Linked DNA regions of Callithrix jacchus. The protein of the gene in region 1 interacts with the protein of each later gene in a biochemical or structural test. Links are inferred from orthologs where the notes say so. Each region holds a gene or a part of one and is shown on either strand. Other genes may lie near its edges. The genes, in order: PTEN, MEX3C, RPL27A, MAGI3, PRDX1, DNAJA1 and NHERF1.

What was found.
Region 2: of the proteins of PTEN (region 1) and MEX3C, one has a biochemical effect on the other in vitro, tested with the Homo sapiens proteins (2 studies listed by BioGRID). The link is inferred for Callithrix jacchus from reciprocal best matches to the Homo sapiens genes PTEN and MEX3C.
Region 3: the proteins of PTEN (region 1) and RPL27A form a complex in vitro, tested with the Homo sapiens proteins (2 studies listed by BioGRID). The link is inferred for Callithrix jacchus from reciprocal best matches to the Homo sapiens genes PTEN and RPL27A.
Region 4: the proteins of PTEN (region 1) and MAGI3 form a complex in vitro, tested with the Homo sapiens proteins (2 studies listed by BioGRID and IntAct, with this or other methods). The link is inferred for Callithrix jacchus from reciprocal best matches to the Homo sapiens genes PTEN and MAGI3.
Region 5: the proteins of PTEN (region 1) and PRDX1 form a complex in vitro, tested with the Homo sapiens proteins (2 studies listed by BioGRID and IntAct). The link is inferred for Callithrix jacchus from reciprocal best matches to the Homo sapiens genes PTEN and PRDX1.
Region 6: the proteins of PTEN (region 1) and DNAJA1 form a complex in vitro, tested with the Homo sapiens proteins (2 studies listed by BioGRID). The link is inferred for Callithrix jacchus from reciprocal best matches to the Homo sapiens genes PTEN and DNAJA1.
Region 7: the proteins of PTEN (region 1) and NHERF1 form a complex in vitro, tested with the Homo sapiens proteins (3 studies listed by BioGRID and IntAct). The link is inferred for Callithrix jacchus from reciprocal best matches to the Homo sapiens genes PTEN and NHERF1.

Annotation. Positions count from the first base shown.
Region 1 is NC_133513.1:80,559,128-80,562,627, reverse strand, and holds part of PTEN (phosphatidylinositol 3,4,5-trisphosphate 3-phosphatase and dual-specificity protein phosphatase PTEN), read right to left. Parts: intron 2,187-3,500; coding exon 2,001-2,186; 3' UTR 1-2,000. UniProt on the Homo sapiens protein: Dual-specificity protein phosphatase, dephosphorylating tyrosine-, serine- and threonine-phosphorylated proteins.
Region 2 is NC_133514.1:94,394,947-94,398,959, forward strand, and holds the start of MEX3C (RNA-binding E3 ubiquitin-protein ligase MEX3C), read right to left. Parts: upstream 2,801-4,013; 5' UTR 2,461-2,800; coding exon 1,728-2,460; intron 1-1,727. UniProt on the Homo sapiens protein: E3 ubiquitin ligase responsible for the post-transcriptional regulation of common HLA-A allotypes. Binds to the 3' UTR of HLA-A2 mRNA, and regulates its levels by promoting mRNA decay.
Region 3 is NC_133511.1:74,572,792-74,577,091, reverse strand, and holds the start of RPL27A (large ribosomal subunit protein uL15), read right to left. Parts: upstream 2,801-4,300; coding exon 2,701-2,800; exon of another isoform or gene 2,608-2,700; intron 1-2,607. UniProt on the Homo sapiens protein: Component of the large ribosomal subunit. The ribosome is a large ribonucleoprotein complex responsible for the synthesis of proteins in the cell.
Region 4 is NC_133508.1:151,644,627-151,648,356, forward strand, and holds the end of MAGI3 (membrane-associated guanylate kinase, WW and PDZ domain-containing protein 3), read left to right. Parts: exon of another isoform or gene 1-208; coding exon 209-1,329; 3' UTR 1,330-3,230; downstream 3,231-3,730.
Region 5 is NC_133508.1:82,247,095-82,251,045, forward strand, and holds the start of PRDX1 (peroxiredoxin-1), read right to left. Parts: upstream 2,801-3,951; 5' UTR 2,716-2,800; intron 2,576-2,715; exon of another isoform or gene 2,293-2,575; intron 546-2,292; 5' UTR 535-545; coding exon 429-534; intron 1-428. UniProt on the Homo sapiens protein: Thiol-specific peroxidase that catalyzes the reduction of hydrogen peroxide and organic hydroperoxides to water and alcohols, respectively.
Region 6 is NC_133502.1:140,217,487-140,221,479, reverse strand, and holds the start of DNAJA1 (dnaJ homolog subfamily A member 1), read right to left. Parts: upstream 2,539-3,993; intron 2,511-2,538; exon of another isoform or gene 2,285-2,510; intron 1,876-2,284; coding exon of another isoform or gene 1,832-1,875; intron 1,785-1,831; 5' UTR 1,775-1,784; coding exon 1,643-1,774; intron 1,438-1,642; coding exon 1,260-1,437; intron 1-1,259. Other genes in the region: uncharacterized protein LOC128932268, read left to right, coding at 1,832-1,875, 2,539-3,172.
Region 7 is NC_133506.1:130,704,070-130,706,236, reverse strand, and holds the end of NHERF1 (Na(+)/H(+) exchange regulatory cofactor NHE-RF1), read right to left. Parts: intron 1,768-2,167; coding exon 1,627-1,767; intron 1,397-1,626; coding exon 1,208-1,396; 3' UTR 501-1,207; downstream 1-500. UniProt on the Homo sapiens protein: Scaffold protein that connects plasma membrane proteins with members of the ezrin/moesin/radixin family and thereby helps to link them to the actin cytoskeleton and to regulate their surface expression. Necessary for recycling of internalized ADRB2.

The DNA.
Region 1 (3,500 bases):
TTAGGAATAGTTGTCTCTAACTTTACCAATTTAACTTATGAGCAATCAATCAATATATATCAATGTTTAAATATAAATGTGTAAATCCTAAGAGCTTTGTTAAAAATTTAAAAATTTTTGCATGAAACTGACGAGGTATGGAAAACATGTCAACATTATTTACTAAGAATATTTTAGATGAAGTTCTGCCTAATCTATTTGCCATCAAACTCTATAAATGTTTCTCTAGTAGGTCCTATTCAATCTGTATCTGTAAATTAACTAGGTCAGACCACAGCTAGTGAACAATTTCAGCACCAATAAGTTATTGAAAATGAAATTTTATACCATTAAGAAATATAATGGCTGGATATTCAAATGTCAAGGTGAAGGTATAATTTGAAGACACCAAATTTCTGGAAAAAAAAATCCTTTTTAATAGTATCTTCACATTAGCTTTACAATAGTAGTTGTACTCCACTTAAAATCGTATGCAGTCTGGGCATATCAAATATATGATATTTTTTAAGAAGTGAAATTGAAGCCCTAGTCCCAACTTGGGGTAGCACTATGAAGAAATGATTCAACACTGCACATTAAAAAAACCCCTATTCTTTCAATAGCAAACCAGTAAAGCACATGTAGGACAATTTCTACTGAAAAATCAAATGTCTTTTTTTTGTGCAGTGCTGAAAGTTTACTGCAACTCTGATTTCTTAACACAAATGTCCTTTTTAACATAAACATTATATGTATTCAGTATTCAAGTAAAATTCCCTAACAGTTAATGACATTTAAAAAATGTGCAAAACTGCAAAACTCATCGTAATAGAATGTGTAAGGTCAAAAGGGTGGAACGGCTGACAGCTATTGGATTGAATAAGTGCATCATAAATCTTCAAAGAAAAAAAAACACTTACTGTAGAATCTCAAATTGAAAATTTCTGTGCAGCATTACAAAATATTTTATATTTAATGAGAAAAAAGAAGCTTGCAGGCAGCACATGAAGCATCCACAGCAGGTATATGATTGGAAACTATTAAGTGTAAGTTGTTGACTGATGTGGGTACTAATAGCATCTGACTTTTAGCACTGGCCTTGATTACACAGGAGATGGAGCAGTCATTACAACTGAGAAAACATATTTAATAAATCATTGTCAATTTTTATGTTTCAAGCCCATTCTTTGTTGATAGCCTCCACATTTATATGGTTAAGTCATTGTTGCTGTGTTTCTTATGACATTTTTATATACCTTCATTTGTGGATCTTAAGATGTTGCAGAAGGTTCATTCCTGTACCCCAATACAGATTCACTTCCTTTAGCTGCCTTTTCTAGCACCAATAGGCTTTTAAAAAAATGCGCAAACAACAAGCAGTGACAGCGGCCAATTCCTCGAATGTCCAGATTAATAACTGTAGCATGCTAAAGAAAGGTGTGTGTAAATAGCTGGAGATGGTGTATGGTCCAGAGTCCAGCATAAAATGTATTTCCTTTCTGAGCATTCCCTCTAATCCCCTAACCTGAATACATGCATTAGAATGTAGCAAAACCCTTTGGAAACTTCTCTTAGCCAACTGCAAACTTATCTGTTGCCACAAGTGCAAAGGGGTAGGATGTGAACCAGTATATCACAAAGCTCTTTAGCCACTTCAGTTGGTGACAGAACACAAAAGGAAAAAATTCCTACGTATACACATCAGTCTGTCTCCACTTTTTATAAAACTGGAATAAAATGGGAAAGTGCCATTTTTATTAATTCTAATTGAATTTTAAATGTCCTTTTGACACAAAAAGGTATATACATGACACAGCTACACGACCTTTTTTCAACTGGACAACAAGTTGTCAAAACCCTGTGGATGTATAGGGTAAAACAAGATTGGTCAGGAAGAGAATTGTTCCTATAACTGGTAATCTGACACAATGTCCTATTGCCATTAAAAAAAAAAAGGTCCATTTTCAGTTTATTCAAGTTTGTTTTCATGGTGTTTTATCCCTCTTGATAAAAAAAAAAATTCAGACTTTTGTAATTTGTGTATGCTGATCTTCATCAAAAGGTTCATTCTCTGGATCAGAGTCAGTGGTGTCAGAATATCTATAATGATCAGGTTCATTGTCACTAACATCTGGTGTTACAGAAGTTGAACTGCTAGCCTCTGGATTTGACGGCTCCTCTACTGTTTTTGTGAAGTACAGCTTCACCTAGAGAAAGAAAATTTAAAATGAAAATCCACAAATATGACTCATCTTAAATTATTTAGTGAAAGGCATTTTTAACAGATTAACTTTTTTATTCCATTTTGCAGATAAACACACTAATTTTTAAGCACGTAACAAACATGATTTTTAAGAGGCCTTTTAAATGACCCTCTTCTTATTAAGATATTCAACATTTTCTTTCTTGCTAGGTACCAAAATTAACATACTAATAGACTATCAGGATGTTAATATTATTTATTTATTTGTTTTTATTTCTGGAGACAAAGTCTTGCTCTGTTGCCCAGGCTGGAGTGTAGTGGCATGATCTTGGCTCACTGCAACCTCTGCCTCCTGGCTTCAAGCAATTCTCGTGCCTCAGCCTCCTGAACAGCTGGGACTACAGGTGTGCACCACCAAACCCAGCTAATTTTTTGTATTTTAGTAGAGATGGGGTTTCACCATATTGCCCATACCGGCCTCAACCTCCTGAGCTCAGGCAATCTACCTGCCTCAACCACCAAAGTGCTACGATTACAGGTATGAGCCACCATGCCTGGCCTCAATTTATTTTTTAAAGAATATAAGCTGCAAACATTAACTAAATAATTCTACAAAATAAATGAAGATTGAAAGCTATCAATAGTTTACATAATATAGCCTTTCAATTATAAAATTCAATTCACAAATGGCTAAGTTCAAAAAGAATGTTTCTCTTACTAGTTACCTAAAAATCAATTCCTTCCTTCCCTCTCTTCTTTTTTCTTTTCCTTCCTTCCTTTCCTTTTCTTTTTTTTTCTTTTCCTCTTTCTTTTTCTTTTTGTTTTTTTTGAGACAGGGTCTTGCTCTGTCACCCAGGCTAGAATGCAGTGGCACCTTCACAGCTCACTGCAGCCTCGAACTCCCAGGCTCAAGTGACCCCCCACCTCAGCCTTCCAAGTACCTGGGACTATGGGTACATGCCACCACCCCCAGCTAGTTTACTTTTTATATATTTTTTTGGAGAGACAGGGTTTCACCATGTTACCCAGGCTGGTCTCAAACTCCTTAGTTCAGGTGATTTGCCTACCTTGGCCTCCCAAAGTGTTGGGATTTTAGGCGTGAGCCACTGTGCCCGACTTCAATGTATTTTTTGATATAAACACTACACACACACAAACTACTGATCAACACTGATATTTAGAATTTATGAGCCCTAAAAACTTCACCTAAAGGAAGGAAGGAGAGGGACAGTAACCTCATAACGTGGTCTAAACAGAGAGCCAAGGGCCTTTACATGCATAGTGAAAATAACTGTCAAAATAACCCTATATGTTAGGT
Region 2 (4,013 bases), on another chromosome or scaffold:
TCTCAAGTATCAAAATAACACTACTTGCCACTTATACCTAGAGGTCAGTCCTCCACACCATTCCTCACATTCATTGTTCCTCCACTGTTTTTCAATTTCCATTTGTTTTTGCTACCCATTTTCCAAGGCCCTCAGGGTAGATGTTCTTTTACCTGAGACTGTCACACTAAATACACTATAGTTAGTGCCATTCTACTGTTTATTAGACTGTTATCTTCTTAAGGGCAGAAAGTCTTAATTAACTTCACATTCTCAACTCAATACCACAAACTCAATACGCTGCAAAATACAAGCCTGGTACAGGGATTCCTCAATGTTCTTACATGAATGGTCAACTCATTCTGATCCAAATTGAGATGTTGTCATTTTATCCCATGTAAATATGTTTTCTCCTGGATTATTACCCTAAGTATCGCCAAAACCAAACAAACCAGGTATTTGAAACTCATTAACCAGAACAGCGACAGGCATAAACCTTTCAATGGAAAGGTCCTGCTTTGAACAGTGTCTTTAAAGTGCCAATCATCAGGCAGTCTGAAATGATCTCCTTTTTCCAGATTTCAGATGAGTTTTTATTAAAATCCTACAGATAAGAAAGAAACGAGCCAACTCTGATATGTGAAACCACCATTTCGACAAACCTCTTATTTGTGTGCACTTTAGACCACTTGGGAAAGATGAGATCATTTAAGCAGCAGCGCCATCATCTCTATTTGACCCTAACAATGCTCTCAACCTAACAGTAAAGAGGCATGCATCAACCAGGCTAAACCATATTGTCATGAGGTGGCAGCAGGTAACATCTGCCCCTTTTATAAAAGGGAAAAAGCTACCATAAAGAGCTTAGGACCTTCCCTAAAAATGTCGGATACAGAGGTACCCCCGGCATCCCCTTCCCCCACCTTCGCAAATCTACTCCTGGAATCTGAGACACAGGTCCTTTGTCTGAACAATGTGGGAGGAGTCTGTCTGCAGTACTGGTGTGCTGGCAAGAAGAGAATTAACTGAAAACTGTATAAACGCATAAAGTTTCTTAATTACCTTACTGTCCAATTTTTCTTCATCCTGCACACTGAACGGTTCTAAAAGATAGCCAGTGTGTCTTTCGGAGGGTTAAAACGTTATCGAGAGGAATACAGTAAGACCGGCGGCAGAGTTGGGCTGCTTTTCCAAAGCTAAGTTTCTGAACGGCGGAGGAGCGCGGGGGATGGCGGTGATACCAACCATTTAAACATCCCTTCCCTCCTCGGTGAGCTCTGTCTACAGGCCTCCATTTCTGTCCTTTTCTCCATCTGAACAAGCTCTCTCTCGTAAGGGAGGCTGAGCGCTTTAGGAGACACTCGGCAGCGCAAACTTGCAATCTCGATGCTTTCCATACCCAACAGCGAGCCCACAACTCCTAGAGCCCGTCCTTTTACCACCTCACAGGTTTCTGGTGCCATGCCAGCCTGGTGTTCCACGAATACAGCCCAAGTAACGTGAACACCACTGGACTGGGTCGCCGAGAAACTTCGCACTTTTTACCCGACGAAACAAGAGGAAAAGCGTGGGTTTTCACAAGGTGACCCATCTTCACATCTGGTCGACCCTCGGCTCCTCCCAGACCCCTTCGCCGTGGACGTGGGGGCCTCGCCGGGTTCGCCTTTTCCGCCACACGCTCGTTTCCCTCGCCTCCCCACCCACGCCCGGGGCCATGCCCAGCTGGACCTCCCCACCCTTGCACTCACCCTGACGGCCGACGATCTCGGCGACGTGCTCGGAGCTGGGCACCGGGACGCACTCGGTGGTGTTGACGCTCTTCCTCCGGAGCAGGGCCGCCTGCTCCCCGTTCAGGGCGGCCGCCGCCGCCCCGCAGCCGCCGGGGCCGTAGGCGTGGGATAGCATCGCCGCCATCATGCCCTGGGCATCGTCCCCTCCGTATAGCACCCCCGCCGCCGCGGCCGCCGCTTCCCGGGCATCGAAGCCGGTGGCTGGCAGCAGCACAGACCCCAGGGACCCGCTTGGGATCGGCTGGGTCTGAGAGGCGGTGGCCGCGGGGGGCGACAGCAGCAGCAGCGACGACCGGTCCTCCTCCTCGGCTTCTTCCAGCTCCTCCTCCTCCAGCAGGTCTCCGTCCAGCTCCGCTTCCTCCCCCTCCTCCTCGTCCTCCTCCAGCTCCAGCTCGGCCGCCTCCGGGGCCCCGGGCCGGCCGGGCGGAGCCCGCTCCTCTGGAGACAGCCCGGCCGCCCGCCGGGCCTGGCCCTGCGCCGCCGCCGCCGCGGTCCGAAGCGCCGGGGCGCCGGGCTCCGCCGGGCTGGGGTCGTCGAGGCCTAGCGTGGCCAGGCGCTCCCTCAGCAGGAGCCCGTCCCCCTCGAGCTCCGGGCCGCCCGAAGGCGGCGGCAGCGGCGGCGGCGGGGGCGGCTGCGGCAGGGGGGCCGGGGCCGCCGCCAGGGCCAGGGCCGCGGAGCTGCCGCTCGGCATCGCGGCGGCGCGCTGTCAATGGTGGCGGCGGCGGCGGCGGCGGCCAGGTCAGGCGCGGCGGGCGGCGAGCCCCATGGCGGACAGGGCCCGGGCCCTATTCAGCGCGCAAACACCTTTCCTCTGGGGAGGCGGCGGGGCTGGGCACCCAGGCCGAGGAGCGCCAGGGCCGCCCGGAGACCGGAGAGGGCGGGGTGGAGGGGCAGGGGAAGGAGGCAGAGGTAGGTAACTAGGTGGGTGGGTGGGGACGGCGGCGGGGCGGGCTGGTGGAGGTGGCAGCGGCTCCCCTCTCAGGGTTTCTTTTGTTTCATGGCCTTAACCAGCCCCCTGCGCGCGCGGCGGCGGCGGCGACGCCCCACGCCGCTCTCCGAAGGAAGCCGGCGCGCTTTGATTGGCTGCTTTTAATCACTGGGAGCCCGCCTTCTCCTCCTTCAGCTTTCCAACTCCGTTCCCCAGCCCCACCCCCCACCCTCCTTCGGGCCCCGCCCTTCCCCTCCCCAGAACTCTCTGATTGGGTGACCGGGACCAGCCAGTTCCCGAAGCCTACTCCTTTCGTCCTCTCCCCGCCCACCTCCCTCTCCAGTCCCTCCTGGCACACGCGGAGAGGGACTATGATTGTTAGATTTACATGTCACTCTTTGTGACGTCCCTGGCGGGGGCGGGAAAAAGGAGGGGGAAGAAGGCGCTGCTGCAGAGGCTAAAACTAGGGGCTGAGCGGGGTTTTGGCTAGGGCACGTGTGGTTGAAGCGCACACCTGGATTTATTTTCTCCCAACACTGTAGCCCACCTGGCTGCGTTCTTTTAGGGAAGGCACTGTGTGAGCAGCCTGGAGCAGAGCCGCTAGCGCAGGCTTTAGGGCGCTGTTTCCTAGGGTTGAGGAAGAGATCGCGCCCTTCTGAGGAAGGGCCTAAGGAGAGTCTTGGAAGGAGGGGCCGCGCAGTATCTTCCTATCCCCTTGCGGGGGCGGTTTTCTGAGCCGCGTGGCTCCCAGGCCTTCCCTCTCGGACCCAGGAATGCTCCTCCCACGGGGCCCGGCCCTCCCACCCTGCCAGCAGGGTGGTTACATCAGCAGCCTGGAGATGCTGAACTTCGGTCCTTTGGGGCTTTTTTTTTTTTTTTGAAAAGGAGTCTTGCTCTGAAGCCCAGGCTGAAGTGCAGTGGCGCGATCTTGGCTCACTGCAACCTCCGCCTCCCGGGTTTCAGTAATTCTCTTGCTTCAGCCTCCCGAGTAGCTGGGACTACAGGCACACGCCACCACGCCCACCCAGTTTTTGTCTTTTTAGTAGAGATGGGATTTCATTATGTTGGCCAGGCTGGTTTCCATCTCCTGACCTCAAGTGATCCACCCGCCTCGGTCTCCCAGTGTTGGCATGACAGGCGTAAGCTACCGCGCGCGGACCTTTGGGGCTATTAAAGGAAGTGAATCCCGTTTCCTCCTCTCTAGACACTCTTCCCACAGTATTGTTAGGTAATCTCACGCAATGGCTATAATTTCTAGAGGTTATTATTTTTGTTGTTGTCGAGACAAGAGTCTCACTCTGTCGCCCAGGCTAGAG
Region 3 (4,300 bases), on another chromosome or scaffold:
CCGGGGCTGGTGATAGTGGCTGCTAGTTTGTCTCCCGGCCGCGTGCGGAACCACGAGGCCCTTTAACCCTCAATGTGCCCACCTGGTGTCTCGCTCAGTTTCCTAAGTCTCGGGCGGCTCCCGAAATGCCTCCTCCCCCTCCCACCCTCCTGAGTGGCACTTCGGCTTCCTTTCTCTTTTGCTCTTCTGCTGTCATCTTGGTTGTCCTTTCAAGTTTGAGCAACTTGCTATGCTTCAGGGACTTAGATGCCTGTTGGTCGCTTTATAGTCCTTTAAACCCAGACATTATAAATACTTTTTCTAAATGCTGCATTTAGGCCAGGCGCGGTGGCTCACGCCTGTAGTCCCAACACTTTGGGCAGTTGAGGCAGGAGGATTGCTTGAGGCGTGGAGTTCAACACTAGCCTGGGCAACATAGTCAGACCTTCGTCTCTACATACAAAGTAAATAAGTAAAAGTAAATGCCATAATCGAATTTTCTCCAGAATCTACCTAACACGCCTGTGACCCTTTCCTGGACAATGCAGACATAGTTGCTCACTTCCCCTCCTGTACCACCACACAAGGAACACAATCTGGTACAGCTCTTATGTAATTTATTGACCTATGTTTGTCTTCCCTACTAGACCTAATTCCTTATGTGTTCAAGAATTGTTTGCTTTTTTCCATGCTCAACTAGTGATTGTCGAGTGAATAAATGAACTTACCCTCCCCTCCCTGTCTTCACTAATAGCATATCTTCTGCCTTAAGTCGGTTCCTTCAACTAGTGTTCAAGATCCCATACCCTCACTAGTCTGTTAATATATCCCATGGGAAAAATCCCATCACCTTAGTTATTCTCTGTATATGTGTGTGCATTTATTTTTTCTTTTTTTTTTGAGACGGAGTTTCGCTCTTGTTACCCAGGCTGGAGTGCACTGGCGCGATTTTGGCTCACCGCAATCTCCGCCTCCTGGGTTCAGGCAATTCTCCTGCCTCAGCCTCCTGAGTAGCTGGGATTACAGGCACGCGCCACCATGCCCAGCTAATTTTTTGTATTTTTAGTAGAGACGGGGTTTCACCATGCTGACCAGGATCGGGAGATCTCTCGACCTCGTGATCCACCTGCCTCGGCCTCCCAAAGTGCTGGGACCACAGGCTTGAGCCACCGCACCCGGCCGCATTTATTTTTTCTTTGTCTTGTCCCCTTCAGCTAAAATATATTTTAGCTAAAATAGCCTAAACTCTCCCATGTCTCTACTACCCTTGCCCTTTCCTTCATAGCAAAGTTTCCCGAAAGTCCACAAATCCTGCCCATTTGCACCTTCCCATCCATTGTTTACTGCAATCTAGCTTGCAGCCTGCAACTTCAATGGAATTGTTCTTACTAATGTCATTAATGAACCAATTGCCAAATTGAATTTTTCCTATTCTTCATACCACTTGTTCTTTCTGTTGTGCTTTAATCTGTTGGCATCTTTTTCTAGAGAAATTCTCGCCTTCCTCCTACTCTGGTCATTTCTCAGTCTTTGCAGGTTCCAGCATGGTCCACCATTTAAATGTTGATGTTCCTCAGCCTTCTGTTCTTGTCCTTACCTTTTCACAGTACATGATCTTCTTGGGTGGCTTCCATTCACATCCCTATTGCTGAGCTCAGCACCCTTATGATCACTTAGTTACTGGTTAGTATTCCTTGGACATTCTACCAAAGTAAACATATCAAAGAACTCAATCTTCCCTGCTCACTGGTGCCTTCTCCTTTATTCTCTTATCTTGGTGAGTGGCACCATTGTCCACCTAGATAATGAAAATTGTCCCCAAGCCTTCTCTTCTACTGTACTGCCACTCTATCCTTTTGTATCTATATCTTTCCAGTGTGCTTCCTCTGTTTAAGCCTTAGTATTCTTGCCTTCATTCAGGCCTTCATCATTTCTCTGATCTGGAGTTTACAACACCTTCCTTTGTTCACTCTGCCTGCATTCTAACCCTCCTCCAATCTTTGCATCCTTCACACCTCCACCAGGTTATTATTCCAAAAACATGAATTTCATTCTTTTACTTAATTGATCAAAAGTTCAATAGCGCCTTATGACCAACAGAATATAGCCCACATGCCTTTCCAACCTTAATTCAGCCTCTCCCTTACACAAGCTTTCTACTGCAGTGATGCTTGCTATATCCCATCTGCATTTTTGCCTTTGCTCATGCCATTTGCCACTCCGGAGTGCCCATCCTCTTACTGACCACGTGTCTTGAATCTTCCTCAGCCTTTGAGACCCACCTTATATTCTGCTTCTTCCCAGGACACTTCAGTCCACAAGGATAACGGCCAACATTTTCAGAGCACTTTGCAGTTTACAAAATGCATATGCCTTAGGGTTCAGCACTGCCAGCCTCATTTTATGGGTGATAAAACCGAGGCACAGAAGAACTGGGTGACTTGCCAGATGCTGCATAGATTGTCAAATACAGAGCCTGGGCCTAGCCTTTCGTCTTCTCTCTTCAGATCCCCTGCTTTTGTCTCAGTGACCACTCCCTCTCTGATCTCACAGCAATTACGGTCTTCATTTCTCCTTCAACCTTAATCACATATTGCATGTGACTCCAGCAGGAAGAGAGGTTTTGAGAGTAGGAGGCGAGGTCAAAGAAGAGATCATCCTCCATTTGTCATCAACACTGGCCAGTAAGTGCACAAATGAGCTCGGCTACCTGGAAACTACCCTTGGAAGATAATCTGTCAATGGAGGTAAGCCGGACAGAGCCTTGGGAATGGAAGGCAACCATCAGGGTATTAGAGCTGGGGCCTACAGTGAGGACCATGACAGCAAGGGTTGAGGTGGGGTTCTGGGTGTTGAGACACTCTTTCCGGATAGTTTGCCAGGTTCCTTGGTTATGGAGAAGCTACATTCTGTCCCTCAGGCCACCAGCTGAACAGAAGGCCTCCCAGAGTGGACCCAGCACTCCCTGTTGGGTTATGTGCTCACCTAACATTCTTCTCATCAATGGTTTGATCTCCTGGTTGTAGAGGGAGTACCCTGGGTAGTTGTCTGGCTCAACCCAGTTTTCTATCCAGCTCCCTCTCCTTCACAAGGCAACCAGGTGACTTAAACCACAGCTCATGTGGGGCTTGTTCATTGTGCATGCCTTTTCCTAGGTTGACAGAGGTCTGAGAGAGCAGACAAAGTTCTCTATCTGCAAAGTAGAGTAGCAGCCAGATATTTGGCATTAGGTGACCTGTCCCTCCCAACTAGGCACATGGGTCATGACCCTTGGCCATGACTCCTGAGGGGTCATCTGGGACATCTCTTCTGAAGTATAGCATGGCCTTGTGACATCTCAGGCATCTGGGCCTCCTCAGAGCATGAGGGCCTCAGAAAATCCCTGAGAAATGAACAGAAGAGATGACACCAGGCAGCAGCCTGGTGTGGCAGGCAAGTGTGCTGATTTTTTGCTGCCACAGGCCTCTTCCCAGGTGGCCTTGGAAACACAGCATCACCAGGTCCCTCTTCCTTTCTCTCCTTGCTGGGTTCCTGAATTCGACATCAGTCCTTCAAATAGCAGCAATGTCCTGGATGGATCCAGCTCTGTTTTCTTACTCTCCATCTTTAGAGTGGAAATTTGGAAATATATTTCTTTTCTTTTTTAAGTAGAACACTGTTAAGATGAGAAGAAGCAGTGTTTCTGCTTTTTTTTTTCCAAGTGAGAATTACAGAAAAACTCAGGAATCCCAATTTATTTCAGAAAGAATTGAAAAATTAGACATAATAGAAAATAGTCCGCTGGCCAGGTGCAGTGGCTCATGCCTATAATCCCAGCACTTTGGGAGGCTGAGGCAGATAGATCACCTGAGGTCGGGAGTTCGAGACCAGCCTGACCAACATGGAGAAATTCTATCTGTACTAAAAATACAAAATTAGCCAGGTGTGGGGGCAGGCACCTGTAATCCCAGCTACTCGAGAGGCTGAGGCAGGAGAATCACTTGAATCTGGGAGGCGGAGGTTGCGGTGAGCCAAGGTTGCGCCATTGCACTCCAGCCTATGCAACAGGAGGAAGACTCCATCTCAAAAAAGAAAAAAAGGAAAGAAAAGAAAGTACAGCATTAAAGAAAATTTTGAAAAAAATATAAGTATAAACAACTGAAATCAAAAGAAAACCACGATGCTGTTTTCTTTTCACCTTTCAACCCTTATATACATGGAGACATAGCTGTCTGCAAAGTTAACGATCGTAGTATGCAAATCCCTTTGTATTCTCCTTTTTATTTAATACCATGGCAGTTTTCCATATCACTACCTAGTCTGAAGAGTAACTTATTTTCAG
Region 4 (3,730 bases), on another chromosome or scaffold:
CTATATAAATAACCTATCCTTCATGTATGAACAGATGTCTAAATACATCTGCCTTTATAGAAATATGTTATAAACATATACAGGCTGTATAAAATACTCATAAGCTTTTTAAGCAGTCAGTACAATTCAGATGGCTGTCAGAGTTCAAAATGTATTGTGCCTATTTCTAATTCTAAAATTTAATGTTCCATTCAAATCACTTTTTTAGGTGATTGGGAAATTAATAATCCTTTATCTTCAAATGTGATTTATGATGAACAGTCACCATTACCCCCATCTTCACACTCTGCTTCCATATTTGAAGAGTCTCACATGCCAGTAACTGAAGAATCTTTAATGAGAGTTCAGATATGTGAAAAGGCAGAAGAATTAAAGGACATTGTGCCTGAAAAGAAAAGCACTTTACATGAAAATCAGCCCGAGGTAAAGCATCAGTCTCTTCTCCAGAAAAATGTGAGTAAGAGGGATCCACCCAGCAGTCATGGGCACAGTAACAAGAAAAATCTATTAGAAGTAGAAAATGGTGTTACCAGAAGAGGTAGATCAGTTAGTCCCAAAAAGCCAGCCAATCAGCATTCAGAGGAACATTTGGATAAGATTCCTAGTCCTCTAAAAAATGACCTCAAAAGAAGACCCAGAGATCGATCCCTCAGCCCCAGCAAGGGGGAAAATAAAAGTTGTCAGGTCAGCACCAGGGCAAGGTCTGGACAAGATCAGTGCAGAAAAAGCAGAGGTCGGTCTGCCAGCCCGAAGAAGCAGCAAAAAATTGAAGGAAGCAAAGATCCAGCAAATGCTAAGGCCAAATTATTAGAGGGTAAGAGTCGAAGAATAGCAGGCCGTGCAGGCGATAATGCTGAGGAGATCCCAGATGGGAAGGAAAAGTCAGGCGTCATCAGGAAAGATGCAAAGCAGAATCAGCTGGAAAAAAGTAGAACAAGGTCTCCAGAGAAAAAAAGCAAAAGAATGGTTGAGAAGTCTCTTCAATCCAGAAAGACTAGTAACACTACAAGTAAAGTAGTATCTGAAAATGAAAAAGGAAAGAAAGTAACCACAGGAGAAACAAGTTCTAGTAATGATAAAATAGGAGAAAATGTCCAGATAGCAGAAAAGAGGCTGAAGCAAGAACCTGCAGAGAAGATAGTTTCAAACAGAATAGAAGATCACAAAGGGAGAGAACTAGAGGCAGCTGACAGAAGCAAAGAGACTGGAAGATTCAAACCTGAAAGTAGTTCTCCAGTTAAGAAAACACCGATAACTCCGGGGCCCTGGAAGGTGCCGAGTGGAAATAAAGTCGCAGGCACTACTGGTGTGGCTGAGAAACGGCAGTAACCTTTAGTATAAAACAAAGAAACACAAGTTGTAATCTTTTCTTACAGCAGCATTTTTCCAGAAAAAAAAAAAAAAAAAAGCCTTTTTCTTTTCAGATATTCTGAAACAGATAAGTACATGTTAATGTGAGCATCAAGTTACCTAGGCTGCATGAAGGGCCTTAGGATTGCTAAGAACCAACTGTCCCCCTGGCTGGCTGTCCTGCCTTGCACTCAGGAAGGAGCTGCATCCACATGCTCATCTGATCCGCCCTGCTCAGGCTGCCCAGCTCGTCTTAATGAGTGTCTGAACAAATGTTGATATTAACAGTGTGGTCACAACTCACTTTGTATTTGTGCCAAGTTATCTACTGTATCATGTCTGTTTTTATCCTCGTTCAGCTATTTCCACAGTAAAGAACAAGTTAGGTTTGGCTTGGAAGTTGATGTCCTCAATAGCATGTTGCATGTTTACAGAGAGAAATATTTGAGTCCTTGCAGAGGAAGAGACTGTCAACTCACCATTAAAGATGGCACTTGTCTCTTCCAACAGCTACTGATGATGTCCCAGTTTAAAAATAAACCCCCCAAACATCACTAACTTCACAGGAAAAAAAATGTAGTCCAATACTGATGCTTTCTTATGGCTTTATTTTAATTTGGCTGGATAAGTTGTTTCAAGTAAGTGTTAAAGATAGTACTTACAACTGAATGTTTGAAATGAGAAAGTACTTAAAGCAATAGAGTCCATCTCCTGCTGTGTTATCCAACATTGATGTACAGTTACGGCATCTCAGGTCACCCTTTTTATTTGTTATTTCATTATGAAACCATAAAGAAGCATGTGGAAAATAGTGTTTATTGCTCTTTGAAGAAAAACCACCAACTATTTCTGGATATTTTGGCTTTACCTACTACTAAAGTCATTAGTCTTTAATACATAATGCATATTTGAAAAGGAAACATATACATCATGTGAGGGACTTAACCACGAAACCAGTTTCACAGTCCAGGTACCAACTCTTCTGGTAGCAGGTGTACAAGCTTGGGTGTTTAGAGCAACCTATGTAAGGTATTACCCAGCAAGTAAGGACAAAAGTGTAGACAGTACTTACTGGATCTTATTTAACTTTTAGCTACATTAACTTTCTTACTTAAAAACAAGAAAGGGAGACTAAACATCTGCTTAGCTTGTACACATTTTCAGAATTCTTTTAAAAAGTCTAGTTAAACGTGTTTCTTAGAAGTTGGAGACTGTTAACTTCCGTAAAATAGATCAGGTTTTTCAGTTCCCTGAAGCAGCATTCAGTAGCATCTATAAATAAAGGCACCTTCTGAAAATAAAAAACTCTCTTATGGAGTGTGTGAACACACTTGTTCTGTCACCCTGGGTTCATCTTGTTGTGAAGCACATTATGTCCAGGTCCTTCCCTCTGGGAGTCTGACTGTGAAACTCTTTAACCCAACAACTGTATTAGCCCCTGTAGATAAGACATGCTTCCCAGAGTGAGATTTTTGAAATCCCTTTTCATCCAGAACTGTATTTACACACCTATTGTAACTATTCAAATAAAGCAAAATTATTAGGAGGCTTGATAAATACTAAGAATTTAGTACCACAGAAATTATTTATTTTCCCTATAGTCCACAGATAGTGATAACAAATCCTATTTTTGTTAACGGTGACATAACTTTGATGTCCTATGTTGTCCTATGTGGCTCTTCCTTTCTAAGTAACCTCTGTACTGACTATATACTGACTTAGCAATGTGGCCTTGGAATGCTGAGCAAAATATGGATGTACTGGTTGTAAATGTTTATATATTGTACAGTACCTTTATATATACACTTGAGGTTCTGATTAGAGAAAGATCTGTAAATTGCTCGTTATTTTTTATATAGATATTAAAAAAAAAAAGCAGTTCATGGCCTGCATTTCTTTTTTACCATCAGATTGGTTTAATGTTGCTTTCTGATAGTGGAGCTAGATCCATCACAGACTGAGCCCTCAAATAGATTTTCTCTCTCCAAGTTACAAACATTCAGAGTCCTAAAAATCAGGAAGACGTTTATAGCTATACTTGTATTTACACATAGAGTTTGAAATTGTTTAGAGTTGAATATCATTATACCCATTTTTCATCTTTCATTGTAAAGAAAATAGCTTTGGATAGATAATTTGCTACTAAAAAAAATCCTTTCTTAACACTATTGGGGAGAGAAAAAAGTTTCTTACTGGAAATTCAGCTACTAGACATTTATAATGGATATAGTAACATAAGCCCAGTTACCACAAGGTCACAAAATTCCATTTCATTAGACTAACAATTCACATTATTTTTAAAGGTCATTTAGTTTTATACTTCTTAGAATGAAGTGTTTTTATTTAACTCTATATGAAAAATACCTAAAACCTACTTCAA
Region 5 (3,951 bases), on another chromosome or scaffold:
CCCCTACAGTCCCAGCTATGCAAGAGGCTAAGGTGGGAGGATCAGCTGAGCCCAGAGAGGCAGAGGCCTCAGTGAGCCATGACTGCTACACTGCACTCCAGCCTGGGGGGTGATGCAATGAAACCCTGTCTCAAAAATTAAAATAAAATAAATAAAAAGACAAGGAATACTCAAGAGAAAACTGAACTAGTATGTCCAAACATAATGGAGCATGTGGTTTCTCCAGAAGTGGTCTGGTCCTAGGATATATACACTGTAATCACTTGATTAATCACCACTTCACTTCAACATGAAGGCAACAACCAAAATACTTATTCCTAGGAGACAAAACATTTTACAGTCAAACACAACACTGACACAGATCTAACATGCCATTTCTAGAATATAAAATAACTCCATCTCAATGAGCCCAGTGTAATTACTTTTACCTTTGTAGTCCGACAGGCTGATATCTTTAAACTGACCATCTGGCATAACAGCTGTGGCTTTGAAGTTGGGGGCAGGGTGCCCAATTTTAGCATTTCCTGAAGACATCTTCCTATCAGCTGGAAAAGAGAAATGAATTAGAAACAAGCCTTAATTTTCTAGATAACCGGCAGCCTGCACCTACTAAGAGACTTAGCTGTAGAACAATCAAGGAATTGTCCAGTATGTCCCTGAATACGTTAAATGTTGTATTAGTAAGAAGCTCAAGCAATCTGAGCTTTCCAACTTGTGGAACAAAACAAGACTCTGAATCTCGGCCTTTGTTTTCATTTAAAAACAGCAAGGCAATTTCTTCATATACTGAAGTCACCTCTCACTCTTTCTGAATCATGATTTGTGCAGGCATCTTACTCATTATACAGAAGCAGAGATGGAGCAGGTGAAGACTCTCAAACCAGAATCCAAATGCACAATGCCACAAACGCTTTTGTTTGGCCTGGAAAAAATCATGTTGACCTTTCCCATTACTGGGCCTCCACCAGCCTTCATAACGTCAGAAGCATATTTGACTTTTCTCCAGGTAGCTGTGTCTAAAACAGCACACACCTACAGCCAATACAACTTTTTTTTTGAGACGTAGTTTCGCTCTTGTTGCCCAGGCTGGAATGCAATGACACAATCTCGGCTCACGGCAACCTCTGCCCTCCAGGGTACAAGCGATTCTCCTGCCTCAGACTCCTGAGTGGCTGAGATTACAGGCATGCGCCACCACAACCGGCTAATTTTTTTGTATTTTTAGTAGAGACAGGGTTTCTCCATGTTGCTCAGGCTGGTCTCGAACTCCCAACCTCAAGTGATCCACTCGCATCGGCCTCCCAAAGTGCTGGGATTACAGAAGCGAGCCACCGCGAGGGTAAGCCAAGATCGCGCCACTACAGTTCAGTCTAGGCGACAGAGCAACACACGATCTCAAAAGAAAAGAAAGAAAAACACAAAGAAAAAAGAGACAAGACCAAGATATTGGCATCTGCTCAATTTCAAATCTTTAGGTATTGTGTACACCCGAGAAGTCCCTTCACAAACGGGTTTCTGACTTCGGGTCTAATATCACAGGACGAAAATAAGAACAAGAACAAATTTACTGCTGAAAAGAAATGTTGCGCTGGATTCACCCAGGTCAACACCAAGATGAGTATCGAGATCTTGGCCGGGAGCCCCGTCTCAAGCCTGTAATCCTGGCTACTCGGGAGGCTCGGGCAGGAGAATCGCTTGAACCCGGGAGGCGGAGGTTGCACTGAGCCGAGATCGCACCACTGCACTCCAGCCTGGCTGACAGAGCGAAATTCCGTCTCAAAAAAAGAAAAAAAAAAAAAAAAAACCAGAGATTTAACCCACTAAGCCTCGGTCTCAAAGTTTTCTCAAAGTCCCAAAGTTCTTGGTTCATAATACCACAACCAAAAGAAACTCTGTGAGCAAGGATCTTAGCCAACTTTTTACTGCTTTTTTAAAAGTCGCCTAAAAAAAAAAAAGTCCTTAAAACCTTTAACGACAAAACACAAAAACAAAAAACTAAGGCATACTGCAACTTGGTGACCCTATAAATGGCCTCTTGTCCAAACCTACATTCCCAGTTGGCCCGAAAGTCCAAAACCCAACCAATTCTGGGTAAAGGCTGCTGGGTTTTCGGGCGGCGCCGGGTCCCTTCAGGGGATCTGCTCAGTGCCGAGGGCCACACCCCTAAACTCCAGGTACCCGGCTCTATCACACCCAACACAGGGAAAGCACCAGCAGAAAGAGTGCTTCAGCGGGGGCATTTGGGCTCTTAATTCCATTCCACGTACAAGAAAATAAAGATGGGGAAAGTACCCGAAACTCCGAATCTAGTCAAGGCTCAGGACCCGGAACAGCCTTTACCCTATCACAAGATAGACAAGTATAGGCTGTTTTCTACAGCCACTAGTCCGGACACAGGTCCATTCCAGAACCTTCCCGAACCCACCCAGCCCAGCAGGAAGCTAGAGTTAGAGACCCCACCACCAGCCCGCCCCGATGCCGCTTCACGTGCTCGGGTTGCCGGGGTAAGACTCGACTAGCATCCACGCTAGACTTGGGATTCAACCAGGTGCCCCCACCTACGCGGGGGGGCCACGTGAGGGGTGCACGTAGCGCTCAGGCAGTCTCGGGCGCCGGGCCTCCCCCCGCTCCCTCAAGCACCACAGAACCCCAAGCCGAGCGCAGACGGGCCCCGGACAGGAGGAGGAAGAGGCAAAAGGCAAGTACGCGCCGCACCTCGCTCAGCTAAGGCCGCGCCGCTCACACTCACCAGTCCTGACACAAGCCTCAGAGAACAAACCACCGGACAGAAAGAGGACGCGCAAAACTCGCTCGAGGCGCAGCCTTTATAGCTATTACGGCTCTCGCGAGAGTCGAAGCAGGCCGGGGGTGCAGGAGGAGGAGAGAGGGGAGGGGGATGTGGCAGGAACCCCGCCCCACCCTGGCGCGCCCCGCCAGAATGACTCGGCGCTTTCCCTCTTGGGGGCGGGCGCGGAAATGCTAATCCCCCTCCCTACTGCGGACTGCAGAGGTTGGAGTGAGGCACCCTTGTGGCCGCTCCCAAACCCAAACGTTTAGGTTGATCCTAGATCTCTGCGGAAAACCAGGATTCTCTTTACTTCCAGGACCACTGCGCACTGTACCCTCAATGCCCAACCCGGAGTAAGCCTCCTAGCTGCTGCCCACGGAGGACCACGTCGAACCATACCAAGCCCTGAGAACTGTATATCCAAATATTTCTTAAATTCGCAACCTTAACCCCACCTCAGATCCTGAGTAACTCCTGAGTAACCCTCATAGCTTACATCGTTTCCTTCACTGTTCACTTTGATTACAGGGTTGCTGCTTTCTGTTGTAAAGGAAAATAAAGTCTGAGGACACCTAAACTTGTGAAAGTTCAGCTTGGGAGGCTGACTCAGGTACACAACCATCCTCTCTACGGATGAATAACTGACTTTACAATCTTGGGTCAAAACATCACACATTAGCCATCCATCACACACGGTTAGGCAAAAGGCCTCAGACATTTCCTGATGACTACCCCCGACAAACACACTCACAAAATCATTCATAATTGTTTGCTACCCTGGAAACCGTTATAGCCTCCCATAAAACAAGGACGTGTCAACTGTAACTAGATCTTCAATCTAAAGTCTAGTTCCTAAAACTAAAGTTTGTTCTATTACGCTTTTTTTTTTTTTTTTTTTGAGACGGAGTCTCACTCACTTTGTCTCCCAGGCTGCAGTGCAGTGACCGGGTGTTGGCTTACTGCAACCTCCGCATGCCAGGCTCAAGCGATTCTTCCGCCTAGCCTCCGGAGTAGCTGAAACTACAGGCACCCGTCACCACGCCCAGCTAATTTTTGGTATTTTTAGAAGAGATGGAATTTTACCTTGTTGGATACGCTGGTTTCCAAAGCCTGGTCTCCAACAGCTCGCCTTAGCCTCCCAAAGTGCTGGAATTAAAGGCGTG
Region 6 (3,993 bases), on another chromosome or scaffold:
CTCAAAGTGAAACTTAATGGCTTGCCCATTCATTCTAAAACTGGGTCTGCTCATCAGCCCTTGTTTGTATACGCTATACTGGGAATAAAGTGAGACCAATTTCTCTTGAACACTTTATTCCTACCTATGAGCAGTATTTCTAGAGCCCATAGACCACTTTCCTGATAAATATATTAAATACATATATTTTGACACAATAAAGCTGAAGCAAGATTAGATCGGTGGCAGGCAATGAGCCAGTTTTCAGCCCTGCTCTCTTGGCTTGCCATATAAGCTTGAAGAAGTTTTAGGTTTCTGAACTTTAACTCACTTTCATTTGAAAAAGACCACTGTATCTACCATCAAATTCCTTTGGGGCATGATGGAACATCAAATAGGATCTGTAAAAAGGGCTTTGAAAATTATATTGCTATACTTTGTTCTCATAATTTGCTTTTTTTGAGATGGACTGTGCTGCCCAAGCTGGAGTGCAATGATACAATCCCAGCTCACTGCAACCTCTGCCTCACAGGTTCAAGTGATTCTCCTGCCTCAGCCTCCCAAGTAATTGGGATCACAGGCCCGTGCCATGACGCTTGGCTAATTTTTGTAATTTTTTTTCTGAGACAGTTTCACTCTTGTTGTACAGGCAGTGTGCAGTGGCACAATCTTGGCTCACTTCAACCTCCACCTCCTGGGTTCGAGAGATTCTCCTGTCTCAGCCTCCCAAGTAGCTGGGATTACAGGTGCCTGCTTAATTTTGTATTTTTAGTAGAGATGGGGTTTCACCATGTTGGTCAGGCTGGTCTCGAACCCCTGACCTCAGGTGATCCACCCACCTCAGCCTCCCAAAGTTTTGAGATTACAGGCATGAGCCACAGCACCCAGCCATTAATTATTGTATTTTTTTAGTAGAGACAGGTTTTCATCACCTTGGCCAGGCTGCTCTCAAACTCCTGACCTCAGGTGATTCACCTGCCTCGGCCTCCCAAAGAGCTAGGATTACAGGTGTGAGCCACCATGCCCGGCCTGTTCTCATAATTTATGTTTGATAATATCTAAGATTTCTGGAAGCAGTCATTTGCTACCACTCGATTGGCTCTTTTTTATATCCCTTAAATCTCATTTTTAAAAAAAGACACCATAAATCAGAGGCAGCTTATGGTCAGTCTGCAACATTATACCACGTAAACACGCATTTAAAATGGGTGATTTCTCAAAGATCTGCTGTGACCAACAGCTACTTTTAATTAGCTGCATAAGGACTAGTTTCTTCTTACCTCTCCTTTCTCTCTGCATCCTTCCTCCTCCTCCAAAAAACATATCAAAGATGTCCATGGGAGAGCCAAAACCGCCACCTGCTCCACCCTCTTTAATTGCCTGTTCTCCTCCTTTGTCATATAATTCCCTTTTCTTTGCATCAGAGAGAACTTCGTAAGCTTGAGATATCTGTTTAAACTGTTTGAGAAAAGAGGAGTGAATTTCATTTTTTTTTTAAAAAACAGGTATTACCTAGCCACTATATTACACTTATCTTAGCTAAAAAGGCAGAGAAAGGATCATAGTTACTATATTAGACACTCAATTTCAGGCCTTAATAGAAATACTACACATCTGACAAAGAACTATTATTCAGGTATGTTTAAGAGTATGTACTACTTGCCTTCTCTCCTTCATTTGGATTCTTATCAGGATGGTACTTCAAGGCCAGTTTCCTATAAGCCTTTTTCAATTCTTCCTGAGTAGCATTGGGTTTGACTCCCAAAACATCGTAGTAAGTGGTTTCTTTCACCATCTTCTACTGCCTGAAATAAGAAAATGCAACTTTAACTGGCAGTTTTAATTAGTAAAAATGAGAGCTAAGGCCGAGCAATCTGCTCTTTGCCAAATCCGATTGTAAGAACACCCCCTTCCTAAATTTCACCAAAAAGGTAACAATTCCTGCGATTCAGCTATAAATTTGAACAGACAAAACAATCTAATAATCATTATCAGAAAATAATTCAAGAGCCGTGTTCTAGCAGCTGGTTCCCACTCTCCCACACCAAAGCTTCCATACTAATAGAACACAACTATTATCTGGATTCTTCCCGTTTGCCCTAGAGTTGGTGACAGCTGTAATCAAAAGGGGCACTAATAGATTCAGTCTATTGGTCATTACACTATCACCGTCTTTGGTAAATCTGATAAACTCCACATACTCCCCAGAAAAAGCCAACTATCTGGGCACACAGTGGCGGGGGAAGTGGTTTATAAAACCGGTTACCCGCTCCACACAGCAAGCCCCCTACCGCCCACGGCTTACAGCTTCTCCACGTTCACGGCCGAACCCCTCTCGCACCTCAGGCCGACAGAGTTTAACTACCAGCTTTCCCCCTGCACTTGGCGCGACCGTTAAGGTTTTCTTCCTTTCTCCCTCCCACCCTGGATCCAAGTGGCGGAGGGGAAAGCCCAGCCCTCAACAAAGAAAGGGAGGGGAGACAGGAAAAGCGAAAGCCGCGGCCTCCGCCCGGCTCCCCCCGCAGCCCCTCGCCCCTGCCTCCCAGTGCGCGTGCGCAGGGTCGCCCCCCCCCCCCCCCCCCCCCGGCCAAACGAGCGTGGACGGGGAGGGGGGCCGCGGGAGCGCGCACGGAGGGGCAGCCGAACGCAGCAGCTCATCCGAGATCCAAGGTTGGGTAGGGAGGGAGGTCCAGGAAAGGTCTTGGACCCATTAACTGTGGGTGGTGCCGGGGATGGGTTGCCAGGGTACATCAGCCCTCCTAAAGGGAAATCGTGGGACCAGGAACCGATAACGCTCCTGCCCACGCGGCCAACGGCCTCTCGACCGCGGCTCCATCCGGTTTCCTGGCGCCAATGGCGCCAGCCAAGGGACTGGGGGAAGCGCGAGGGCTCAAACTCACCGGTGAGCGGACTGAGGTCGGTGTGTGAGGAAGCGGGAAGGAGCGCAGAGCTGTGCGGAGCTGTGCGCAGCTCGGGCAGCTACCGCTCCTCCACCTCTCACCGAGCGTTCTGGAAAGTTCCTCCCGGCGCGCTGCAGCCGTCGTCTTTTGTAGCCGAACCCTGGCGCGTCACTCGCCGGAAGTCCCTCCCTTCTTCGCTGCTGCCACCGCCCCGTGGTTACCTGGGCAACGGCGCGGGGGCGCACGGGTCGGGAGGAGCTGCGCCGAAAGGCCTTGTCGGGGGTGGGTGGTAGCCCGGCTTCCCGACGCTCGTGGAATCTTCTGGAGCCCTTTCCTCCAGTCAGCGAGCCCGGGAGTGCGGAAGCCTTCGGCTTTTGGGCCATGGCCCGGGAGCAGTGCAAGTCCTAGGGTTCCCAAATCAGTGGGGCGGCCGCGAGGGCGGGAAGGGCTCGAGTACAGTGACCCATCGGGAGTTTTATGTGATTGGGGAAGCTATTGGAACAAAGTCTTGCCCCGCTCCCACCCTTCTGCTGGCGCCTTTTTCTCTGCCAGGGAACCCGCTGAGCAAGAAATGCCGAGCCAGGTGGGTCTAGTCCCCAGATCAGTAGCATAGGCCTTGGGTCTTGCTGTTTTTCACGCGCGGTCCAAGATAGCATAATTCAGCAAATTGCTAAGTTATTAGGGCTTTTTGTGCAAGTCCAGGCCCCTAGACACATGTTATCTGCCCTGGACCTCGCTGACTCCTGCAGCTTAGAGCAGAGAGTCTGGGACTGAGCTGAGCAGTGAAACCTTTGAACCACGTTTGATGCACAGTAGGCCGTGGACTCCACTGGTCAGGCTTTCACCCTTTCACTCAGGCTACAGAGTAGCAGCAAGATGGCGAAAACAATTTAATTATTTGACCTGACTTTCACATTATAGGGGTCAGTGAACCTGGATGTACAATCTGCAACGTGAGCCCTTGGACCTTAAAATGATACCACGGGTGTTTAATGGGAATTGGGGTCCGCCTTTTTATTTAGGACCACAACAGATATATCAGTATCTAGCACCAAGAATGGTGGAGTTTGCCAGGCGCAGTGGCTCACGCGTGTAAGCCCAGCACTTTGGGAGG
Region 7 (2,167 bases), on another chromosome or scaffold:
CAGTGGCCAGATAAGATAGAGCATCTGGTACCAGCCCAGCCTGCCCCTGGGAATCCTGCACCCCACTGGCTGTAAGCAGAGTAAAGCCATGTCCTCATATTCCAAACCCAGATCCATTCTGAGACTCACTTTCCTCGCTCCTACGATTATAAGAACTTCCTAGAGTCCTCTGAGCACGTTGGTCTGAGTTCCCACTTTCCCTGGTAAATGTCGCCATTGGGGGTCCTTAGCTCACACTGGAGCTTGCAGCCTGGCACACAGGCACACTGACCACCAAGCTGAACACCCTGCTGGGTGCATCCTTCCCACAGACTTCTGCACAGCTAGGCCCTCTAGCTAAAGCTACTCAGGCTTGGGGTCACAGGGAGCCCTAGATGGCCCTCTCTTCAGTGTACCCCACCCTCCAAGGAACACCCTGGCTTGCCATTTCTCGCTTTCTACCTACAAGGGGTCCAAGGCCAGAGGACAAAACTCCCAAGGAAGACACAGAGGCTGAAGGGTTTGGAGGAACCAGCTGAATTTCTCAAAGTGTTTCCTTACAATGGTGGTGCCTGGCTCAGGGATGGGCAGGGGTAGCCAGACCCTTCCCCCTGCCACCCAGTTCTCTGAGGGTGGGAGTAGGAACAAAAGTTTAAGGCTGAGGCCATGGCCATGCCCTGGATGCAACAACCAGGAAAATCATGTTAATCAAGGAAACAAAAATTCCTCTAGACTCTGCAAAAATACTGCACTCTTTAAACAACAAAAATCAAATGAAAACAAGATACGTCAGCCACAGCTCTCAGGATAATGGATGCCCTGTCCACTGCGAGCTGCAGTTGCTGCAGTCAGAGTTCTTTGATCAGCCCTGAACCCAGTTATCACATGGGGGTGGAAGGGAAGGTGCCCTTTCATCTGGTCCCATGATCCTGGCTTGGTGTAGGTCCCAATGATGTCCCAGGCTGGGTGGCAAAGGGACACCTGGTAGGATGAGGCACTCAGTGAGGAGGAGGGAGGCAGAGTCTGCTTTCTGATTGGGGAACAGGAACACATTCACCTTCCCTAAAGTAAGGGAAGAACATCGTTCTCTAGAAAAATCATTTGTCAAGAAAGGGGATGTGGGTGCTGATTTGTATGTCGATTCAAGGGAGTAACGGGAGAGAAGGAAAAAGGTGGGGTGGAAGGCTGGCTTGGCCCTGCCAGTCACTGGGTGGCTGGCAGCGGGCGCTCAGAAGTTGCTGAAGAGTTCGTTTTTCTTGCTCCAGTCCATCTGCGGGGCCCGTTTGCTGCTGCGCTTCTGGTGGGCCCTTTCTTTGGCCACGGCCAGGGAGATGTTGAAATCCAGGATGGGGTCAGAGGAGGAGGTAGACGAGGGCACTGTGGAATCCTGTTTTGGGGGGCTGTCTTGGGAATTCAGCTGGAGAGAGAGGGGGGGCAGGAAGTTGGGAGTCAGTCCCTCATTAGGCTCCCTGGTCCTCAGCCTCAGTGAGGTGGCTCCCTTGGGGCAGTGCCCAGGGAAGCCAGGTCACAAGAACAGAATGCGGCTCAGCATGTGACTTCAAAGGCAGGCTGGTGTGCCAGGAACAAGTGGGGCCTGGGAATCGGCTTCCTGTAACCCAGTTGCCACCCCCCACATGGCTGGCCTACCTCCTCGCTGGTGTCACTGGAGGCAGTTCTCACCAGGGCTGGCCTGGGGCTCTCCAAGGCTGCCTCTGCCAGGGCTTCACGACTGTTCTCCTGGCAGAGAGGAGAGGGGTGTGGGTTGTCAGAGGGTGGGGTGTGGGGGTCCTGAGGAGGGAAGTAGGGGCCTCAGTCTAAGAGGCAGCGCTGATGTCCTGGCCCCACCCCCGATCCCACTGCCTGAGCCTGCTGGGGCTCCTTTCACATTCCTTGGAGGATCAGAGGGCAGCCTGGTTCTCCTTCGGAGGCTGGAGGGGTGTAGACCGTCATGGATTGGCTGAACTGCTCCCCTCCCTGGCCCTCTCCAAAGTGGCCTTTAGGTACTGACTTGCCTGTTGGGCCAATGACCAGGGAGGGGCTTCTTGGAATGTGGGGACACTGGGGGTCTCTTTGCTTGGCATGGGGAACCCATGTGGTGCTCCCTGTATATCCTGTGATCCACTTGACTGTTCCCCTGGATTTGACCCCAGGAATCCTGAAACCCTAACCTTGAAGCAGCAAAGGAGGG